Linked DNA regions of Callithrix jacchus. The protein of the gene in region 2 purifies or fractionates together with the protein of the main gene of each other region. This does not show direct contact. Links are inferred from orthologs where the notes say so. Each region holds a gene or a part of one and is shown on either strand. Other genes may lie near its edges.

Region 1 (3,514 bases), on a different chromosome or scaffold from region 2:
GTTTACGTGCGAAGCACAGACTTTGATCGGACTCTCATGAGTGCTGAGGCCAACCTGGCTGGACTCTTCCCTCCCAACGGGATGCAGCGCTTCAACCCAAACATCTCGTGGCAGCCTATCCCCGTGCACACTGTGCCTATTGCTGAGGACAGGGTGAGAGTGGCCAGCGCCCCTGGGCTGGTGGTGAGGTAACAACTCTGGCCGTGGACCTGCTGATGCCAGGCTCCTTTTCCCCACTTCGCTCTACAGCTGCTGAAGTTCCCATTGGGCCCATGTCCCCGTTATGAGCAGCTGCAGAACGAGACCCGGCAGACACCAGAGTATCAGAACGAGAGTTCTCGCAATGCAGTGAGTTGGGGCGGAGGTGGAGGTCACCATGCTGTCCTTTACCCACAGCAGGACTGATCCCCTGTCTGTTTTCCATAGCAATTTCTGGACATGGTGGCCAACGAGACAGGGCTTACAGACCTGACACTGGAGAGCGTCTGGAATGTCTATGACACACTCTTCTGTGAGGTGAGCCCACGAGGGTGACCACTCTGGTCACTCTTCTCCCCCTCAGCAGGCCCAGGTCACCAGGACAGTAGAACATGGTGCCTGTTACCGTCACGCCCCTGTGGAGGTCCAGGGAAGCTGTGCTTGTGAAACCTGGGAACTTCCCTCACTGGTGACAGAGATCCTCAGAGTGGGAAACAGTTTGTTAACTGTCAGCAGTCCCTGCTGCTCTCCACCCAGAGCTCCTTTCTGCTGAGTCTCACATTTCATGCCGGGGCTTCCTTTCCTGTACCCTGCAGCATCCACACCAACTGCCATGTCTACTGGCTCCAGGCTCTCTCCCTCTCTCTTCTCTCCCTCCCTCCCTCATACACACAGGCACCTTCCCACTGGGGAAGAGAGCTGCCCCCTGGAGAGGCTCTGGCCTAGGCCTGGGGCACTAACCTGCCCGCTGCGATACACAGCAAACGCACGGGCTGCACCTGCCGCCCTGGGCCTCACCCCAAACCATGCAGCGTCTGAGCCGGCTAAAGGACTTCAGCTTCCGCTTCCTCTTCGGAATCTACCAGCAGGCGGAGAAGGCCCGGCTTCAGGGGGGTGAGTGACAAGGGCAGCATGTCACTCTGCTCCTCAGGACCCTAAGGTCTGCTGTGGGGGCTTCTCACACACTTCCCCCTCTACTGAAACATTCCCTGCTCTTTCAAAACGAAATCCTCCTCCTCATGCTGTCAGTCACCAGATTTCCCCAGCTCTCCTTCTTTTCTGCCATTCATACTCCTTTTTTTTTGGAGATGGAGTCTTACTCTGTTGCCCAGGTTGGAGTGCAGTAGCAGGATCTCAGGTCATAGTAACCTTGGTTCCCGGGTTCAAGCAATTCTTTTGCCTCAGCCTTCTGAGTAGCTGGGATTACAGGAGTGTGCCACCGTGCTTGGCTAATTTTTTTGTATTTTTAGTAGAGATGGGATTTCACCATGTTGGTCAGGCTGGTCTCGAACTTCTGACCTTGTGATCTACCTGCCTCAGCCTCCCAAAGTGCTGGGATTACAGTTGTAAGCCACCACGCCTGGCTCATAGTCTTTTTAAAAAATATATTTATTCTTTCAGGGGGGATAGAGTTTCCCTCTTGTCACCCAGGCTGGAGTGCAATTGTGCGATCTTGGCTCACTACAACCCTACAACCTTCGACTCCTGGGTTCAAGCCAATTCTCCTGCCCCAGCCTCCCGAGTAGCTGGGATTACAGGTGTGCACCTCCATGCCCAGCTAATTTTTGTATTTTTAGAAGAAAAAGCGTTTCACCATGTTGGCCAGGTTGCTCTTGAACTCCTGACCTCAGGTGATCCACCAAAGTGCTGGGATTATAGCCATGAGCCACTGCACCTGGCCTATTTATTTATTTTGAAACAGAGTCTTACTCTGTTACCCAGGTTGAAGTGCAGTGGCATGATCTCGGCTCACTGCAACCTCTACCTCCTAGGTTCAAGGGATTCTCCTGCCTCAGTCTCCCAAGTAGCTGGGACTATAGGTGCATGCCATCACACCCAGCTAATTTTTGTATTTTTAGCAGAGACAGGGTTTCAATATATTGGTCAGGCTGGTCTCAAACTCCTGACCTCTGGTGATCTGCCCACCTCAGCCTTCCAAAGTGCTAGGATTACACGTATGAGCCACCGCACCCAGCCCTGCCATTCATATTCTTCTCAAGTTTCACCCACATCAGAAGATCCTCCCTCTCCTAAATGAATAGCCAACCCCAGAGAACCATGGGGGGCCATTTTGAGAAGGCTGAGAGTAACACACATGCCAGCTTCCTCATTTTAGCACCCAAAGGTATGCCTGCCTTCAAACCTTTTGACATCTCAGTTTTCAGAGGATATGGCAGTTACCTGATAAGGACTCACCCACTGTGTACTCTGAAGCAATCTTAAGTTTACATTTGTTTCAAACTGAAGTGCTTCTATAAACATGGGCAGGTTTCTGCATCCATGTTGAAATATAGGTAGAGGCTGGGTGCGGTGGCTCATGCCTGTAATCCCAGGACTTTGGGAGGCTGAGGTGGGTAGATCACCTGAGGTCAATAGTTCAAGACCAGCCTGGCCAACATGGTGAAATGCTGTCTCTACTAAAAATTCAAAAATCAGCCGGGTGTGGTGGCATGCCCCAGCTTCTGGGGAGGCTGAGGCAGGAGAATTGGCTTGAACTCGGGAGGCAGAGGTTGCAGTGAGCTGAAATCATGCCACTGTACTCCAGCCTGGGTGAAAGAATGAGACTCTGTCTCAAAACAAAAAATAAAAAAAGAAATATAGGTAGATATCTTGTTTTGTTTTGCGTCCTTCTGTACATTTGACAGTTCTTAGAGATAGGGGCGCCACAGAGTTCCTGCATGGTCCCTATGACACTGAAGAGTTATCCATGTAGGTGATGAGGCCCAGGACTGGCAGGGGCTGAAAGGAGCACAGACATGTCTAATTAGAAGGCAGAGGTGGCTGTAGCCACCAACACCAGGGACTTTTCTCCTTCAGGAGTCCTGCTGGCTCAGATACGGAAGAACTTGACCCTAATGGCGACCACCTCCCAGCTCCCCAAGCTGCTGGTTTACTCTGCGGTAAGCGCCGGTGCTCCCTGTGCTGTGTCAGGCAAGGAGCTGGATTTCTTCTCTGTTCGGTTCCTGGGGGTGCGGGGAACAGTGCTGATGGGGAGCCCCTATCCCTCACAGCACGACACTACCCTGGTCGCCCTGCAAATGGCACTGGACGTCTACAATGGCGAACAAGCCCCCTACGCTTCCTGCCACATATTTGAACTGTACCAGGAAGATTCTGGGTGAGTGAAGCTAGCAGTGTTCTCTGGAAAAGGCCCTCGGGGGGTGGCTCAGCGCAGCCCAAGGACCCCATTATGGGCAGGCTGAGCAGCTCCTAGGTGGCCTCCTGTCAACCCTCAGGAATTTCTCAGTGGAGATGTACTTTCGGAACGAGAGTGAGAGGGCCCCCTGGCCGCTCAGCCTGCCTGGCTGCCCTCACC
Region 2 (3,951 bases):
ATTATTCCTACCCTAAAATGTTAAGCAAGCTCTTTAGCCTATCTTTTCCCTTTAGACTTTATTTTGAAAAATATCAAGCCGGAGGAAAAAAAAAATTGCTGGTCGGGAGTGGTGGCTCATGCCGGTAATCCCTGTACTTTGGGAGGCCGATCTGAGCTCACTGCAACCTCCACCTCCTGGGTTCAACCGATTCTTCTGCCTCAGCCTCCCCAGTAGCTAGGACTACAGGCACGTGCCACCATGACCAGCAAATTTTTTTGTATTTTTAGTAGAGACGGGGTTTCACTGTGTTGGCCAGGCTGGTCTTGAAGTCCTGACCTCGTGATCGACCCGCCTCGGCCTCCCAAAGTGCTGGGATTGCAGGAGTGAGCCACCATGCTCGGCTGAAAGTGCATCTATTCTAACTGATACCAAGGTTCTCTTTGCGAGCCGGTAACAACAGAAAATTTCTTTCTTTCTTTGCTTACATTTTTATAATCATGTATTTTTTGGAAAACTTAATTGAAGTTTTTTTCTTTTTAAAACTCCATTTAAAAAGAAACGATGGCGCAGTGGCTCACGCCTGTAATCCCAGTACTTTGAGAAGCTGAGGTGGGAGAACTGGCCAGGAGGCCAGGAGTTCGAGGCTACTGTGAGCCCTGGTATTGCCAGGGCACTCCAGGGTGGGCAGCAGAGCGAGACTCTTATCTTAATAAACAAATAAACAAACGCCGTAAACATTCCGAACTGCTTTGTTTTCCCATTGGTGAAATCTGTAAACATGTGACGGAAACTGGAATCTTTATTTTGCTCCTGTCCCTCTGCTGGTGGAGTAGGATTTTACCGCTGGTTCTACCTAGGCGTAGAGCTGTCTCTGCAAACAAAAATTAGGCAAGACCGAAAAAAGTTAATGTTCTTAAAAGATGTAAGTGGAGCCCGAAAATAGTTAAATTCTTGGGCTAGGAAGGCATCCTTTAATGCCCAAGTCTCCGGGTTAGAGAGGACCGAGCAGACGCGGCCAGAATCTCCAGGACCAGAGGTGGTGCAGGGGGTAGCCGCCGCCCACAGCCCAGGTCCTCTGGGCCGGCACGCCCCTCCCACCACCTCAGCTAATCCGGGCTGAGGGGGCGGGGATCGGGACAGCCGAAGGCGGGGCAGACGCAGGAGGGGGTGTGTCTAGGGCGGGGTCTGGCAGGTCCCTGAAGGTGGCTACTTTCGCTTCCAGCAGCGTCCCAGCCCAGGTGGAGAGTCGGGGCTGGCGGGGGTTCGACCTTTGGCGTCAGGAAATGGCGGCGGGGGGCAGGATGGAAGACGTGAGTGCACGGAGGCTGCGCGCGGCTGCCGGTCCCGGAATCCTCTTTTTCCTGTGTTGAGGCGCACTGGGCGGAGGCTGAGGGATGGAAACCTCCTTTAGCAAGTGCGGCCACAGCCGTAGGGGGCGCCGCCTTTGCCGGGGAGGCCTGGGCGCTGGGCTGTGGGAGGGCGCCGGGCGGCCGTGGAATCTGCGACACGCCGGGTCCGGGCTAATTTTCCTCGTGGAGACTAGGGCGGGCTTCTGGGCGGTGGGCGCGCGGCTCCAAAGGTTCCTGGCTGCTGCCCAGCCCACGTGCATGGCGCGTCTTTGGTCCCGGAACTGGCAGCTTCACGTGATGCGCGCCTGGCCTGACAGCCCTTCCTCCCCGCGAGTCTCCGGGCGCCGGGCCGCTGGGTTCCGCTCGGACCCCCCAGGGGCGCAGCGGGGCGAATCTCCCTTCCTGGTGGGGTCCCTTGCCTTGGCTGTAGAGGCTATGGACCTGGAGTGACAGCGACGCTCGGGCCGGGTGCCAGCGTACTGCGGACAGACCTGTCGCTATCATCGCCTGGAAACCCACACCAGAGAAAAACAGTGTCATGTGCTGTTTTGAATCTAGCATGGTAGGAATGTAAAGGTTTTTAAATCGTTGATAGATTCAAACCAGATTACGAAAAAAACACCAGTTGGCCCAGTTTACAGCGTGTGTAATACAGAATGATAGCATAATTACAAAAATCTTATTTCTTTGCTTAAGTATCATAAGACGTTTTTAGAGGAAACGTATATATGTCCAGAATTAACTGGATTTTCTATTGGAAAGTAATTTTTGCTTTTGAGAAATGCAAAGTTGACGGTTAAAGTACTAATTTGGGTTAATAAATTAGTAGGAATATTACTGTGATCCTACTGAATGAAGTACATTAAGAAAAGAAAGAAACATGAAACAGTCCCAGCGCTATGGTAGCTTAGATTCTTGAGCAGTGACCATAGTTAAATAATCTTGATGAAATAAAAACCAAACATTTCTAATGAGACTAAAATTTTCTATTTTTTCGAGTTGAGAAAATGGAAAATTAACTATAAGACCTGTAAGTAGACTTAAGACTCATATATATATTTAAAGCAAAATCTATTGTTTCTGAGTTTTTAAGGGTGAGCTTCATGAGCTGACAGTATATGGAAAAAAATGAATATGTAAGAAGAAAATGAGAGACTTAGAAAAACCACGTAGTAAGTGCTTCTTGGTTGATACTGAGCTGCTCTAGGGTTCTTGGATCTGTAGCTTTTAGCTTTAGGATGCATACAGTATTAGAAATCTGCTTCATCAAACACGGAAGAACGAAGCAGTCTGGGAGGCCCATGCCTGTAATCCCAGCACTTTGGAAGGCAGAGGCAGGCAGATCACCTAAAGTCAGGAGTTTGAGACCAGCTTGGCCAGCATGGTAAAAACTCTGTCTCTACTAAAAATACAAAAATTAGCCAGGCATGGTGGTGGGGGCCTCTAATCCCATCTACTCAGGAGGCTGAGGCAGAAGAATCGCTTGACCCCAGAAGGCTGAGGTTGCAGTGAGCCAAGATCACGCCACTGCCCTCCAGCCTGGATGACAGAGTGAGACTCCATCTCAAAAATAAAAAATAAAAAGAAATAAAAAATAATTAGAGATTAATGTTTTAACACCAACCACATATTGAAGTCACTTTAGATCTGACTAAGTCTCCTGCTTTTGGTATTTTGTAGACATGATTTCTAGTCTTCAGTAAAAAGCTAAAAATTGTGGACCATGCTTTGGGTGCAGACACTTAAATGAGTTGAATCAAAGACTTTGCGATAGTATGGATTCATTGTTTAGTAGGTACTTCAATTCCCAGCCAACATGGAGTAACCGGGAATAGATGTACCATTGTGCCTGAAACAACCAAAAAACTAGATATAACATAAGATACAACACTTTGTGAGATATTGGATGTCAGACAACAAAGGGTAGCAATCTCAGAAATGGGAAACAAATGCTGTGAACCCCATCACTGCCCTGGCTTACTGCCTTGAAAGAGTGCAGGCTGTGACAAGGCACGGGGAAACCAGGCAGAGCCCAGCAGATTTCTGAGTTGGTGAGATGGAGTTGAGGATCTAGGAGACGGAGGCAACTAGAGTTCCCAAGACAGCACCCAGAGAGGAGAGAGCTACAAAGAGGGAGAACTCTGAAGATCTGCATGGGGATCCCCCAGGCATCCAGTAGAGTGCTAATCGGGGCATGAGGAAGCTTTTGGAGGCCTCAAAAAGAACCACCTTAAAGGATTAGAAGGAACAGTTTCTCCATACAGGGCCAAGAATACTGCCTATTTCACCTACCAGCCAGACAAAACCCCCATAATTCACAGAACATGCGGGTGGAGTACTCAGAAAGGTCTTGTCTCAGTAGTGGAGTAGAATTAGCCCTAGATGAAGTCCACCTAATTTCTTAACGGCAAGACCAAAAAAATCAGACTGTTTCTACGTGACTTTGCTGTACTGCAGAACAAAGTTCAAGAATATAGGAATACAGAAAATGTCCAGCACCCACAGAGGTAAAATTGGAAATATCTGGCATTCAATAAAAAATTACAAGGCATGTAAAGAGGCAGGAAAATATGAGCTGTACTGAGTCCTTTGAAACTGATTCAGACATGAAATATGCTAG
Region 3 (3,514 bases), on a different chromosome or scaffold from region 2:
AGAAGCAGCATCTCAGAGAAAGCTGTTTGGCCAGGGTCTCCCAGTGGGAGGGGCTTGGGCCAGGCTGTGGGTCCTCGGACCTTGGCTGCTGGGGCTTCCCTCCTGTGAGAACAGACTCAGGTCAGGGGCGTGGCAGTTCCTCTTGGTTCAGTGCCTGGTGCTCCCCGGGCCTGGTGATAAGCACATGTGATCCTGGTCCCAGGGTTGCTGATAGTAGAGGGGTCATGGTGTCCAGGGACCTGGGGTTGTCGGGAGGTGACCTTGGGTGGACACGGGTCCCCAGCACCGTGCGGCGGGCAGCTCTTTAGGCGTCCCCATCGGTGCTGGCTGCCCTCCAGGGAGCATAGGGGGAGCGTCCCCAGGACCCCCACCTGCATCTGCTGCTCCAGCGTTTGTCACCCATGGTCAGGTGACCTTGGGAAGGGGACCTCAGCCTTGGTTGGTTTCCTCTTCTCGGGCTGACCTGAGTGGGGGTTCACCCCCCCTGTAGGAGGGGTGACTGGGGGTTGGAGACCTTTGCTTTGAGGGTGGGCAGCCTGTCAGCCAGCAGCCTCCCACCCTGAGCTGCGCCTGGCCACTGCCCCACTCTCCAGGGCTGACGTGGGCAGTTCACCTCACGTGGCTCACTTGGCACTTGGAGTCTCTGGGCCTGACTGCTGACCTTGGTGCACTTCCAGCAGAATTCCGGCAGTCATCCTGGCCTGGCTCTTTGCTCTGTCCCTTGCCTGGGCAGTGAATACTCCATAGCAACACCCTGGGCAAAGCTGGTCACTAGAGGCCAGGACACAGGTGAACCGGCTGGGTCATTTCTCCAGGAGTCTTGGGGCACAGGGGAGCGGGCACACAGTGTGAGTGTCCAGGTGGGGGAGGGGCACTCAGGCATGAATGTCCGCATGAGTGCGAGAGTGGGGGAAGGGACACAGGGTGAGTGTCCATGTGGGGAGGGGGCACACGGGTGTGAGTGCTTAGGTGGGACGGACACAGAGTTGAGTGTCCACATGGGGAAGGGGCATGGGGTACGGGAGGGGCACGCAGGTGTGAGTGCCCAGGTTTGGTCCCAAGGCCGTGGCTGGGGCAGGAAGTGAAGCCAGGCAGGGGTGAGGGTCTGAGGGCTTGGAAAGGCAGTTTTGGCTGCGGGGAACGTGAGTTGGATAGGAGGCGCTGCTCGGGTTTCTATACTTGGGATTGCAGAGGTGCTGACGGGAGCACAGGTGGAGGAGGGCGGAGTGCTGAGCCTGTTGGCAGGACTGGGTCAGGCCTGGTGCTGCCCTGTGGGGACGGGCAGCGGGATGGTGGCCAGCTTAGCCGCAGACGCCCCAGACAGGAAGACCTTCTCTAACGGGACTGGCAGGGTTTGCTGCGTTGGCGGCTTGAACTTGATCAGTGTTTAAAAACGAACCCCGGCGACACGGGCTGCAGGTCCAGGAAGTGCGGTGCACCCCTCCCGGGAGCGCCGTGCTGACCATCCACGGTCTGGATGAGGGGAGATGAGCCCACGTGGCTCGGGATTGTGGGTGGAGGACGTTGCAGGAGCAGCGGGGCAGAGGCTCTGGGGCCAGAACGAGCCATCCCAGCTTCCGGGCTGTACCTTCTCCCGTCCCGGAAGCAGACCAGGAGAACCTGAGTGTTGAGGAAAACCTCTTCTGGGGCAGGCTGGGCTCACCAGGGTATGAGCAAAGCCAACCCCAGGAAGAAGGGAGTCCATCTCTCCTGCCTTCTGGGCCTTTCCATCCCTGCGGGTCCAGGAAGACCCCTCCAGTCCAGGAGGCTCTCTCTGACTGCCACATTGACCCCCTTACTCCTGACCCAGCACCCGGGGGGCTGCAGTGGCAGCTGACGCTCCCTTCCTTTTCCTCTCAGGGACCCAGATGCACAGCCTGGGGGTGAGCTGATGCTGGGTGGCACAGACTCCAAGTATTACAAGGGTTCCCTGTTCTACCTGAACGTCACCCGCAAGGCCTACTGGCAGGTCCACATGGACCAGTGAGTAGTGGCTGCAGGCAGCTCCCCTGGGTTCTGTGGGTGGGGGGTGGCGTTTGGGGACCCTGGAGGACTCCCGGTTCTGCAGGTGGGGTTGCATGTGGGGGGAATGGTAGAGCTGAGCAAGAAAGAGATGGGGTTGGACCAGCCTCCATGCCCTCCATCCCCTCCATGACTCTTCATGCCTTCCATCCCTCTGTGACTCCGTGACGCTTGGTCACTGGGGCTTCCCTCCTCTGGGAACATGACCCTCCCTCCCTCCATGCGCCTCCATCCCTTCCGTGCTCTTCCATCCCTCTGTTTCTCTGTGACCTCCATGCCCCTCCATCCCTGTCTCTATCTCTTCTATCCCCTCCATCCCTCCTACGCTCTATGCCTCCATCCCCTCCATCCATCCCTCCATCTCTCCCTTCATTCCCTCCATCCATCCCTCCATCCTGTCCATCCCTCTATCCCTCCATCTCTTCCTCCATCCCATCCATCCCTCCATCCCCTCCATCCATCCCTCTATACATCCTCCTTCCCTCTATCCCTCCATCCCTCCATCTTCTCCATCTCTTCTATGCTCTCCATGCCCCCCATGCCCCTCACTACCACCTGAGGGTCTCCCACCCTCTCTGCCACCCTGCGTCTCTTCTCCCACCCCTCACCCTGGAGGGCCTACAGCCCCCTGTGCATCGGCAGCCTAGAGAGGAGAGTGCCAGGGAAGGGCTCCTGGGGACGGGCACTGGGCCCCCAGTGCACATTGTGATTGGGCATGGGCCTCACGCCTTGACTTCCCACAGGGTGGAGGTAGCCAGCGGGCTGACCTTGTGCAAGGGGGGCTGTGAGGCCATTGTGGACACGGGCACGTCCCTCATGGTGGGCCCTGTGGATGAGGTGCGGGAGCTGCAGAAGGCCATTGGGGCCATGCCGCTGATCCAGGGCGAGGTGAGCACTGGGGCTGGGGCTGGTGGGGTGGAGCCCCACGGCCACCGCTGCCACCCTGACACTGCTTGGTCCCTCTCAGTACATGATCCCCTGTGAGAAGGTGTCCACCCTGCCCGTGATCATGCTGAAGCTGGGAGGCAAAGACTACGAGCTGTCCCCGCAGGACTACACACTCAAGGTGGGCAGGCCATAGGGGCCTCGTGCCCCAGGTGAGCAGGCGGGGTGGGGGAAGGCATACCCCAGGTGAGTGGGCAGGAGGGGGGAAGGCACCCCAGGTGAGTGGGCGGAGGGGGGAAGGCACACCCCAGGTGAGTGGGCGGGGTGGGGGAAGGCACACCCCAGGTGAGTGGGCAGGAGGGGGGAAGGCACCCCAGGTGAGTGGATGGTGGAGGGAGGGGAGACACCCCAGGTGAGTGGTTGGTGGGGGAGGGGAGACACCCCAGGTGAGTGGGCAGGGTGGGGGTGCGCGCTCCAGGTGAGCAGGCAGTTGGGGGGCATACTCCAGGTGAGTGGGCAACAGGCGGGGATGCTCATGGTCTGGATGCCCACGGCGGGTTGCGGGTGGTGCCAGGCCTGGGTGCTGACCGCCAGCCCCATCCCAGGT
Region 4 (3,513 bases), on a different chromosome or scaffold from region 2:
ACATTTAAGTGTTACATATTTATACTTTTCTTTTGAAATAGTTTTTCTCCCCTAATAGTGACAGGCTATGGGTTTGTGGGGGCGAGTTTGCAGGGTTGACGGCTGCAGGGGGAGGTGGTGCTGGTTGGTGCCATCCACGCAGGGACGCCACACTCTGAAAGCAGCTGTCACAGTGGCCAGGAGTCATCTTGGGATCCTGAAATCTGTACCAGTGTGGACTTACAGTGCTTCCTTCTCGTTTTGGTTAAAACAAATGTGGCCTTGAATTCATGGTTTCAGGACTGTTTTTCTTTTTTTGAGCATCTGGAGGACCTGGCTGGGGTGATGACTTGCTTGGTTGTCTTACAGACGGTGACAAAACTTCTCAACATCAACCCCAACAAGACCTTGGCCACCGGGAGCTGTGGCACCCACCTGGTGACCCTGGAGCTGCGCGATGAGGGTGGCACGGTCCTGCTGTTCCAGTTTGGGATGGTGAGGCCGGGTGTCCCTTGTGCCCTGGGTCTGCTCATGGGTAGCAGAATTAGGAACAAGGCAGCCTCACTTTTTCCTGCCTTTTTAAAATCCTGGTTACTCAGTAATCGATTTGGGCGGGGCTGCCGTGCCCACAGTGGGGTGGCTGCAGGGGTAAGGCTGCTGCTGTGAGGCCACGAGGCCTTCTGGCCTCAGACGCTGCTGCCCTACAGCCACGGGGTGGCCTTTCTGCCTGGAGCACTCCTGTGCAGTGAGCAACACAGTTAGGAAGAATATAAATGTCACTTGTCAATCTTTTTAAGTCGCTGTGCAGATGAATTAGCAGTTCAGTTTCCTACCATTTGAACTTTCCAAATCATGCTTTCCTGTGCCGTAAGAGCTCCTGCAGGCCCCGCTTCTCAGAGACTCTAACTCTATGAAGAGGTCTGGAAGGACCAGCCTGGCCGCACAGGGAGGCTCTGTCTCCACAAGTGATAAAACGATCGCTTGAGCCCAGGAGTTGAGGTTGCAGTGAGCCATGATCACACCGTTGTACTCCAGCCTGGGCGACAGAGCAAGACTCTCAGAAAAGGGCGTGGAAGGAACTAACTGGAATTCACTGGCCTTTTATAGACAGGATATTCTGTAGTTTTGTTCAAAAACTAGAAACATGGGAAGTCAAATTTTTTACCAAATGACCTTTCAAGTTTAATGATAGATGTTCGAGTCTACTCAGTGGTTAAAGATCATCTTTCTTTTTAAGAATGCAAGTTCTAGCCGTTTTTTCCTACAAGGAATCCAGTTGAATACAACTCTTCCTGACGCCAGAGGTGAGAACCCACAATCTCTGGAGCCCCTGCTCCCCACCCAGAGTGCCCCGGAGTTACTTGACTTGTGTGTGTGTTGCAGACCCCACATTTAAAGCCTCCAACAACTCCCTGAGAGCGCTGCAGGCCACCGTTGGCAACTCCTACAGGTGCAACGCCGAGGAGCGCGTCCGCGTCACCAAGGCGCTTTCCGTCAACATATTCAAAGTCTGGGTCCAGGCTTTCAAGGTGGACGGTGACCAGTTTGGCTCTGGTGAGTGTCGCCGAGGGCAGCTGTCCCGGGGTGTAGAGGACGCACTTCAGACTCCACCTGTGGATATTTAATCGCTTCTGTGTGGCCTGGGGCAACACCCTTGTTCCTATGCAAGCCGTTTCTTCTTCCCGGTCTGAGATTCTAGAGGAAACTCCCCCTGCTTTAGAGAGGCCCAGCGTATCTCTGAGCTGGGAACCCCTGGTACCATTTGAGAGTAAGGGTGTCATTTTAAGAACAGTGGTGGCGTTTCTCCCATGAAAGTTGAATGCAAAACCATCATCCGATGTGCTCTGTGTTCCAGGAAGCCCGGAGGCTCTGGACACAGCACAGCTGCCCAGCCACAGCCCCTGATTCCAGCCGGGGGAAAACATGTGTGGTTTCCCAGCTGTGCAGAGCGCGCCAGTCTCTGCAGCGGCTCCCCCAAGCGACAGCCGGACCTGGAGCCGTCTGCCAGAGTTCCTCTTGGCTTGTGGCTGACGTGGGGGAGTGGCGGGGAGAGAGGCCTGTTAGCAGGCCCCTGTGTGAGTGGAAGCTGACACTGTCCGTGTGTCTTGGCAGTGGAGGAGTGTCTGCTGGACGAGAACAACATGCTGATCCCCATCGCTGTGGGCGGCGCCTTGGCGGGGCTGGTCCTCATCGTCCTCATCGCCTACCTCGTTGGAAGGAAGAGGAGTCACGCCGGCTACCAGACGATCTAGCCCGGTGCAGGCACAGCGGCTGCGGGCCTCAGTCCTTTCCCTGGCATAGGGTCCTGTTGAGGGAGGCACACTTTCTGGCAACGTTTCTCAAATCTGCTTCATTCAACGTGAAGTTCATCTTGCAGCATTCACTATGCACAACAGAGTAACTATTGAAATGACGGTGTTAATTTTGCTAACTGGGTTAAATATTTTGCTAACTGGTTAAACATTAATATTTACCAAAGTAGAACTCTAAGGAAGGGTGGGAGCGCTGCTCTAAATTGGCACTGGCTCAGCTCTCGTTTGACTTTAAGATTCTGGTGTTTGGTTTCTTGGTTCTTTACTGCACTCAGATTGAAGCCTTACAAAGGGAAAGCCTCCGGCCGTCACGGGTGGGACGCATGAAGGTCACTCACAGTTTCAACAGTAGAGAGGGAAAGTCCTGAGACAGACTCCAGAGATGAGCGTCTCAAGTGCTCCAGTTCAGCTTTAAAGGCCACACGCGGCTGGCGCCCTGTCCCCATTCTACGGGCGGCACTCGGCGGCACATCCTTGGGCGTTTCTGATGCTCTGCGGCTCAAGGGCTGGCACTTTTTTAACTATAAAAATGGGTGTTATTTTTATGTTTTTTGTAAAGTGATTTCGGTCTTCTGTTGACATTCGGGGTGATCCTGTTCTGCGCTGTGTACAATGTTAGATGCGCTCCTGGTGTGTCGCCGCGGCTTGGGGGTTGTACACAGCATTGGCTCACGTAACGCATTGCCTGTAACAATGTAATAAAAAGCCTCTTTCTTTTTTGTCTGGGCCTTGTCCTTTTGTCAGCTAAAATGGGAGCTCATGAGAGAAGGATGTCAGGGAAACGGGGGTGAGGCCTGTCTCGGTGCAGTGAGAGGACGTCGGGGAAATGGGGGTGAGGCCGGTCTCGGTGCAGGGAGAGGACTTCAGGGAAATGGGGGCGAGGCCGGTCTTGGTGCAGTGAGAGGGCGTCGGGGAAACGGGGGCGAGGCCGGTCTCGGTGCAGTGAGAGGACGTAGGGGAAATGGGGGTGAGGCCGGTCTCGGTGCAGGGAGAGGACGTAGGGGAAATGGGGGCGAGGCCGGTCTTGGTGCAGGGAGAGGACGTCAGGGAAATGGGGGCAAGGCCGGTCTCGGTGTAGGGAGAGGACGTCGGGGAAACGGGGGTGAGGCATAGCCTGGCGTTGGGAGCTGACGTAGCCATTCTTACGGACGGTAGTTAAGATGTCTCAGGATCCGTCTTTCATTTTGAACAACGTGGCCATGTTGCTGTGTTCTCTCTTGGG
Region 5 (4,104 bases), on a different chromosome or scaffold from region 2:
AAATAGTCTACTATCTACAGCCCTCAAAAGTTCCTCCTCTCTCCTTAGCCTTACAAAATGCCATCTGCCATGGGCATGGGCAAAGACTTCATAACTAAAACACCAAAAGCAATTGCAACAAAAGTCAAAATCGACAAACAGGATCTAATTAAAACAGCTTCCACACAGCAAAAGAAACCACCATCAGAGTGAACAGGCAACTTGCAGAATGGGAGAAAATTTTTGTAATCTACCCATCTGACAAAGGTCTAATATCCAGAATCTACAAGGAACTTAAATTTTGAAGAAAAAAAACATCAAAAAGTGGGCAAAGGATATGAACAGACACTTCTCAAAAGAAGACATTATGCCAACAAAAATGAAAAAAAGCTCATCGTCACTGGACACTAGAGAAATACAAATCAAAACCGCAATGAGATACCATCTCACGCCAGTCAGAATAGCGATTATAAAAAAGTCAGGAAACAATAGATGCTGGGGAGGCTGTGGAGAAATAGGAATGCTTTAATACTGTTGGAGGGAGTGTAAATCAGTTCAATCATTGTGGAAGACAGTGTAGCGATTCCTCAAGGGTCTAGAACCAAAAATACCATTTGACGCATGCACATGTATGTTTATTGCAGCAGTATTAAGAATAGCAAAGACTTAGAACCAACCCAAATGCTTATCAATGATAGACTGGATAAAGAAACATGGCACATATACACCATGGAATACTATGCAGCCATAAAAAGGAATGAGATCATGTCCTTTGCAGGGACACGGATGAAACTGGAAGCCATTATCCTCAGCAAACTAACACCGTCACAGAAAACCAAACACTGAATGTTCTCACTCATAGGTGGGAGTTGAACAATGAGAACGCATGGACACAGGGAGAGGAACAACACACACTGGGGCCTGTCAGGTGGTAGGGGCCATGAGGAGGGAGAGCATTAAGACAAATATCTAATGCATGTGGGGCTTAAAACCTAGATGATGGGTTGATAGGTGCAGCAAACCACCATGGCACATATATACCTATGTAACAGACAGGCACATTCTGCACATATATCCCGGAACTTAAAGTAAAATTTATAACAATGAAAGAAAGAAAAAAAAAAAAAAAAGAAAATGCCGTCCGCGCATATCTCTTAGGAGCATAGGAAGTGTTGTGAACCAAAAAGCCAGGGCGTGGTATCCCCGCCCACCTGCCTCTACATCACCACCCCTCTCGCCGCTTTCAAGCGCGGAGATTGGCTGTAAGCAAGAAAGAGCCCCGCCCCTAGTCTTATGACTCCCGCTGAAGCGCCGATTACTGGTTTTTGCAACGCTGTGGTCGGTGGTCACCCGTGCTCTTGACCCAGGTCTAGCGAGCCTTTTCCCTGGTGTTGCAGCCCTTGTTGTACCTCCGCCGCCGCTTGCTCTGCGGAATCATGTTGTGCTTCCGCCTCTTCCCGGTTCCTGGCTCAGGGCTTGTTCTGGTCTGCCTAGTCCTGGGTGAGTTGTCGGGCCCTTCCGATTAGTCTGTGCGCTTGGGCCTGGGGCGCCAGTTCTACAACCTGAAAGACTGGTCCGAGGGTGAGGGGGTTGAGAGGCTCAGCAGCAGACACTTGGCGGCGGCGGTTGGCCCGGGCAGGCGAGGAATGACCTAGAGAAGGCCTGACCGAGGGATGGCGGGGAAGAAGGGCCCAGGAGAGTAAGAAGGGGCCGGTAACGGGGGTGGACGCCGAGGGAGTAGGCTGGGAGGAGTGACGCGTGGAGAGGGTCGGGGTGGAAAGAGTAACTTGGGGAAAACACTGAGGAGTGAGCGTAGGAGGGTGGTACATGCAGATTTTGGGTGCCAGAGACAATTAGGAGAGTCCTGGTTTGTTGAGACCACGGAAGAGTTTTGAAGATGGTGGAAAAACTATGGGGTGAGATAGGAAATTAAGAGGGGAGACCATGCCTGCCAGGAGTAGCTTGGTGGAAGAATGTGGGTTGGGGCAGATAGGACACTAGAGCCTGAGGGGCAGGGGCAGGGACAGGGTTGGGCATTTTGTAGGTAGGAATTTGAGGCTGTGAAGAAAGGGTGATCAAGAGATGAGGAGTGATACTGGGTTTGAGTTTGGCAGTCACAGTTGTTGAGGGGGAAGGAACCTAAGGTATCTGGGGAGATTTCCAGGAAAGAAAATTTGGACTCAACCTCTGGGGACTAAGGGGTTCAGTGGGAACTTTGATGGGGAGTGCATATCTACTTGGAGGTATTGAGGATGTCGATTTTCTCCCAGTTTTGCTACTTCCTCCCAGCCAGGCACTGACAAAAAAATCCCCAGACGTTTCAGTTGGGAGGGCCTCCCACATGTGAGGTTTTGCGGGTGGAGTATCTGAGTTTGGTAGACTACCTCTTTGCCTTCAGAGTCTCTTGTTTTTTTCATCATCACACAACTAGCCTATTACCTCATTTTTGGGGGGTACAGGGAGCAGTTAGAAAAATTGCTAAGGATTGAGTTGTTACCAGGGCCTAAGAATGGCTGGATGGGACTCATTGCAGTGGCTCGAACCTGTAATCCCAGCACTTTGGGAGGCTGAGGTTGATGGATCACCTGAGGTCAGGAGTTCGAGAAAAATACAAAATATTTTTCTCTACTAAAAATACAAAATAGCTGAGTGTGGTGGTGGGTGCCTGTAATCCCAGCTACTTGGGAGGCTGAGGCAGGAGAATGGCTTGAACCCAGGAAACAGAGGTTACAGCGAGCCGAGATCGTGCCATTACACTCCGGCCTGGGTGACAAGAGTGAAACTCTCTCTCAAAATAATAATAATAATAATAAAAGAATGGCTGGATGACTGTTTGCTGATTGTGTTGTACCTTAATAGATAATGGATCCCTAACAGCTTTCATTGCCTAAAGCTGAACTTTGACCAGAGTGTCTCTTCCTGACCTGATTCATGCTGTGCTTGTTGCTACCCACCTGCTCTTGCTATTTCTGACCTAATTAAATAACATAAGGAGCAGACCCAGATGAGAGTGGGGAGGAAATAGACCTATTAAGGGTCTGAGAAAGCAGTGAGAGATATACATTTTGTAATTCACATTTCAGTAGAATAAAATCAACACCCTGGAATAGTGATTCTCAACCAGGGGACATTTGGCAGTATCTGGAAACATTTTTGGTTGTCACAACTGGGGGATTGCCTTTAGCATCTAGTGGGTAGAGGCCAAGGATGCTGCTAAACATCCTAACCAAGCACAGGGCAGGCCCTCACAACAAAGAATTATCTTCCTGAAAATGTCAGTGGTGCCAAGGTTGAGAAGCCCTGCTCAAAAACCATGGTATTGAAAGAGTTCCTGATTATCTAAGTCACTGACTCGCAAGGACTTTTTATAGGTCTGTGAAATCAAAACTTCAGAATAATGTTAAGAAGGTATTTGTCCTTTTTGGCTGGGTACAGTGGCTCACGCCTGTAATACCAGCACTTTGGGAGGCCAAGGCTGGCAGATCACCTGAGGTCAGGAGTTCAAGACTAGCCTGACCAACATGGTGACACCCAGTCTGTACTAAATATACAAAAATTATATGGGTGTGGTGGCACATACCTGTAATCCCAGCTACTTGGGAGGCTGAGGCAGGAGAATCTCTTGAACCCGGGAGGCAGAGGTTGCAGTGAGCCTAGATCACACCACTGCACTCCAGCTTGGGTAACAAGAGTGAAAGTCCGTCTCAAAAAGGAAAAAAAAAGACGGTATTTGTCCTTTTCACTCTTATCCTCTCACCAGTGTACAGCAGTTTTCCAGAAGCTACACAACCTGTGATGTCCTCACCACTCTGACGTTCTTGCATTTTATTCATTTCTCAGTTTTAATTTCTAATACTGTAATACCAATACATATGACTCACTTAAACCTCCATGAGGTCCTCAGTGGATAAGAAAGTAAGAGGGTCCTGACACCAAAATATTTGGGAATCCCTGATGTACTCCAACGGTTCACATGGTGCAGGAAAGTCTTCTGTACCACTTCTGAAAGGGGGCCATGAGGCTTTGCTTGAATACTTAATTCTAAGCCTTAACTGTATCTTGGAGCACTTACTGAGGGCAGACTGACCCTAAGAAAGGATTGTTTACAATGGAAAGTACCTTATC

Evidence for each region.
Region 1: the proteins of TMEM192 (region 2) and ACP2 purify together in Homo sapiens (affinity purification with mass spectrometry; 3 studies listed by BioGRID and IntAct, with this or other methods). This does not show direct contact. The link is inferred for Callithrix jacchus from reciprocal best matches to the Homo sapiens genes TMEM192 and ACP2.
Region 3: the proteins of TMEM192 (region 2) and CTSD purify together in Homo sapiens (affinity purification with western blotting; 3 studies listed by BioGRID, with this or other methods). This does not show direct contact. The link is inferred for Callithrix jacchus from reciprocal best matches to the Homo sapiens genes TMEM192 and CTSD.
Region 4: the proteins of TMEM192 (region 2) and LAMP1 purify together in Homo sapiens (affinity purification with mass spectrometry; 3 studies listed by BioGRID and IntAct, with this or other methods). This does not show direct contact. The link is inferred for Callithrix jacchus from reciprocal best matches to the Homo sapiens genes TMEM192 and LAMP1.
Region 5: the proteins of TMEM192 (region 2) and LAMP2 purify together in Homo sapiens (affinity purification with western blotting; 5 studies listed by BioGRID and IntAct, with this or other methods). This does not show direct contact. The link is inferred for Callithrix jacchus from reciprocal best matches to the Homo sapiens genes TMEM192 and LAMP2.

The regions. Positions count from the first base shown.
Region 1 is NC_133511.1:112,302,542-112,306,055, reverse strand, and holds part of ACP2 (lysosomal acid phosphatase), read left to right. Parts: coding exon 1-153; intron 154-249; coding exon 250-348; intron 349-426; coding exon 427-516; intron 517-959; coding exon 960-1,092; intron 1,093-3,015; coding exon 3,016-3,098; intron 3,099-3,209; coding exon 3,210-3,316; intron 3,317-3,434; coding exon 3,435-3,514.
Region 2 is NC_133504.1:29,996,525-30,000,475, forward strand, and holds the start of TMEM192 (transmembrane protein 192), read left to right. Parts: upstream 1-1,151; 5' UTR 1,152-1,265; coding exon 1,266-1,292; intron 1,293-1,650; exon of another isoform or gene 1,651-1,761; coding exon 1,762-1,893; intron 1,894-3,951.
Region 3 is NC_133511.1:130,135,057-130,138,570, forward strand, and holds part of CTSD (cathepsin D), read left to right. Parts: intron 1-1,860; coding exon 1,861-1,983; intron 1,984-2,765; coding exon 2,766-2,910; intron 2,911-2,989; coding exon 2,990-3,088; intron 3,089-3,512; coding exon 3,513-3,514. UniProt on the Homo sapiens protein: Acid protease active in intracellular protein breakdown. Plays a role in APP processing following cleavage and activation by ADAM30 which leads to APP degradation.
Region 4 is NC_133502.1:28,771,957-28,775,469, forward strand, and holds the end of LAMP1 (lysosome-associated membrane glycoprotein 1), read left to right. Parts: intron 1-348; coding exon 349-474; intron 475-1,216; coding exon 1,217-1,283; intron 1,284-1,362; coding exon 1,363-1,533; intron 1,534-2,091; coding exon 2,092-2,231; 3' UTR 2,232-3,010; downstream 3,011-3,513. UniProt on the Homo sapiens protein: Lysosomal membrane glycoprotein which plays an important role in lysosome biogenesis, lysosomal pH regulation, autophagy and cholesterol homeostasis.
Region 5 is NC_133524.1:116,348,473-116,352,576, reverse strand, and holds the start of LAMP2 (lysosome-associated membrane glycoprotein 2), read left to right. Parts: upstream 1-1,292; 5' UTR 1,293-1,415; coding exon 1,416-1,479; intron 1,480-4,104. UniProt on the Homo sapiens protein: Lysosomal membrane glycoprotein which plays an important role in lysosome biogenesis, lysosomal pH regulation and autophagy.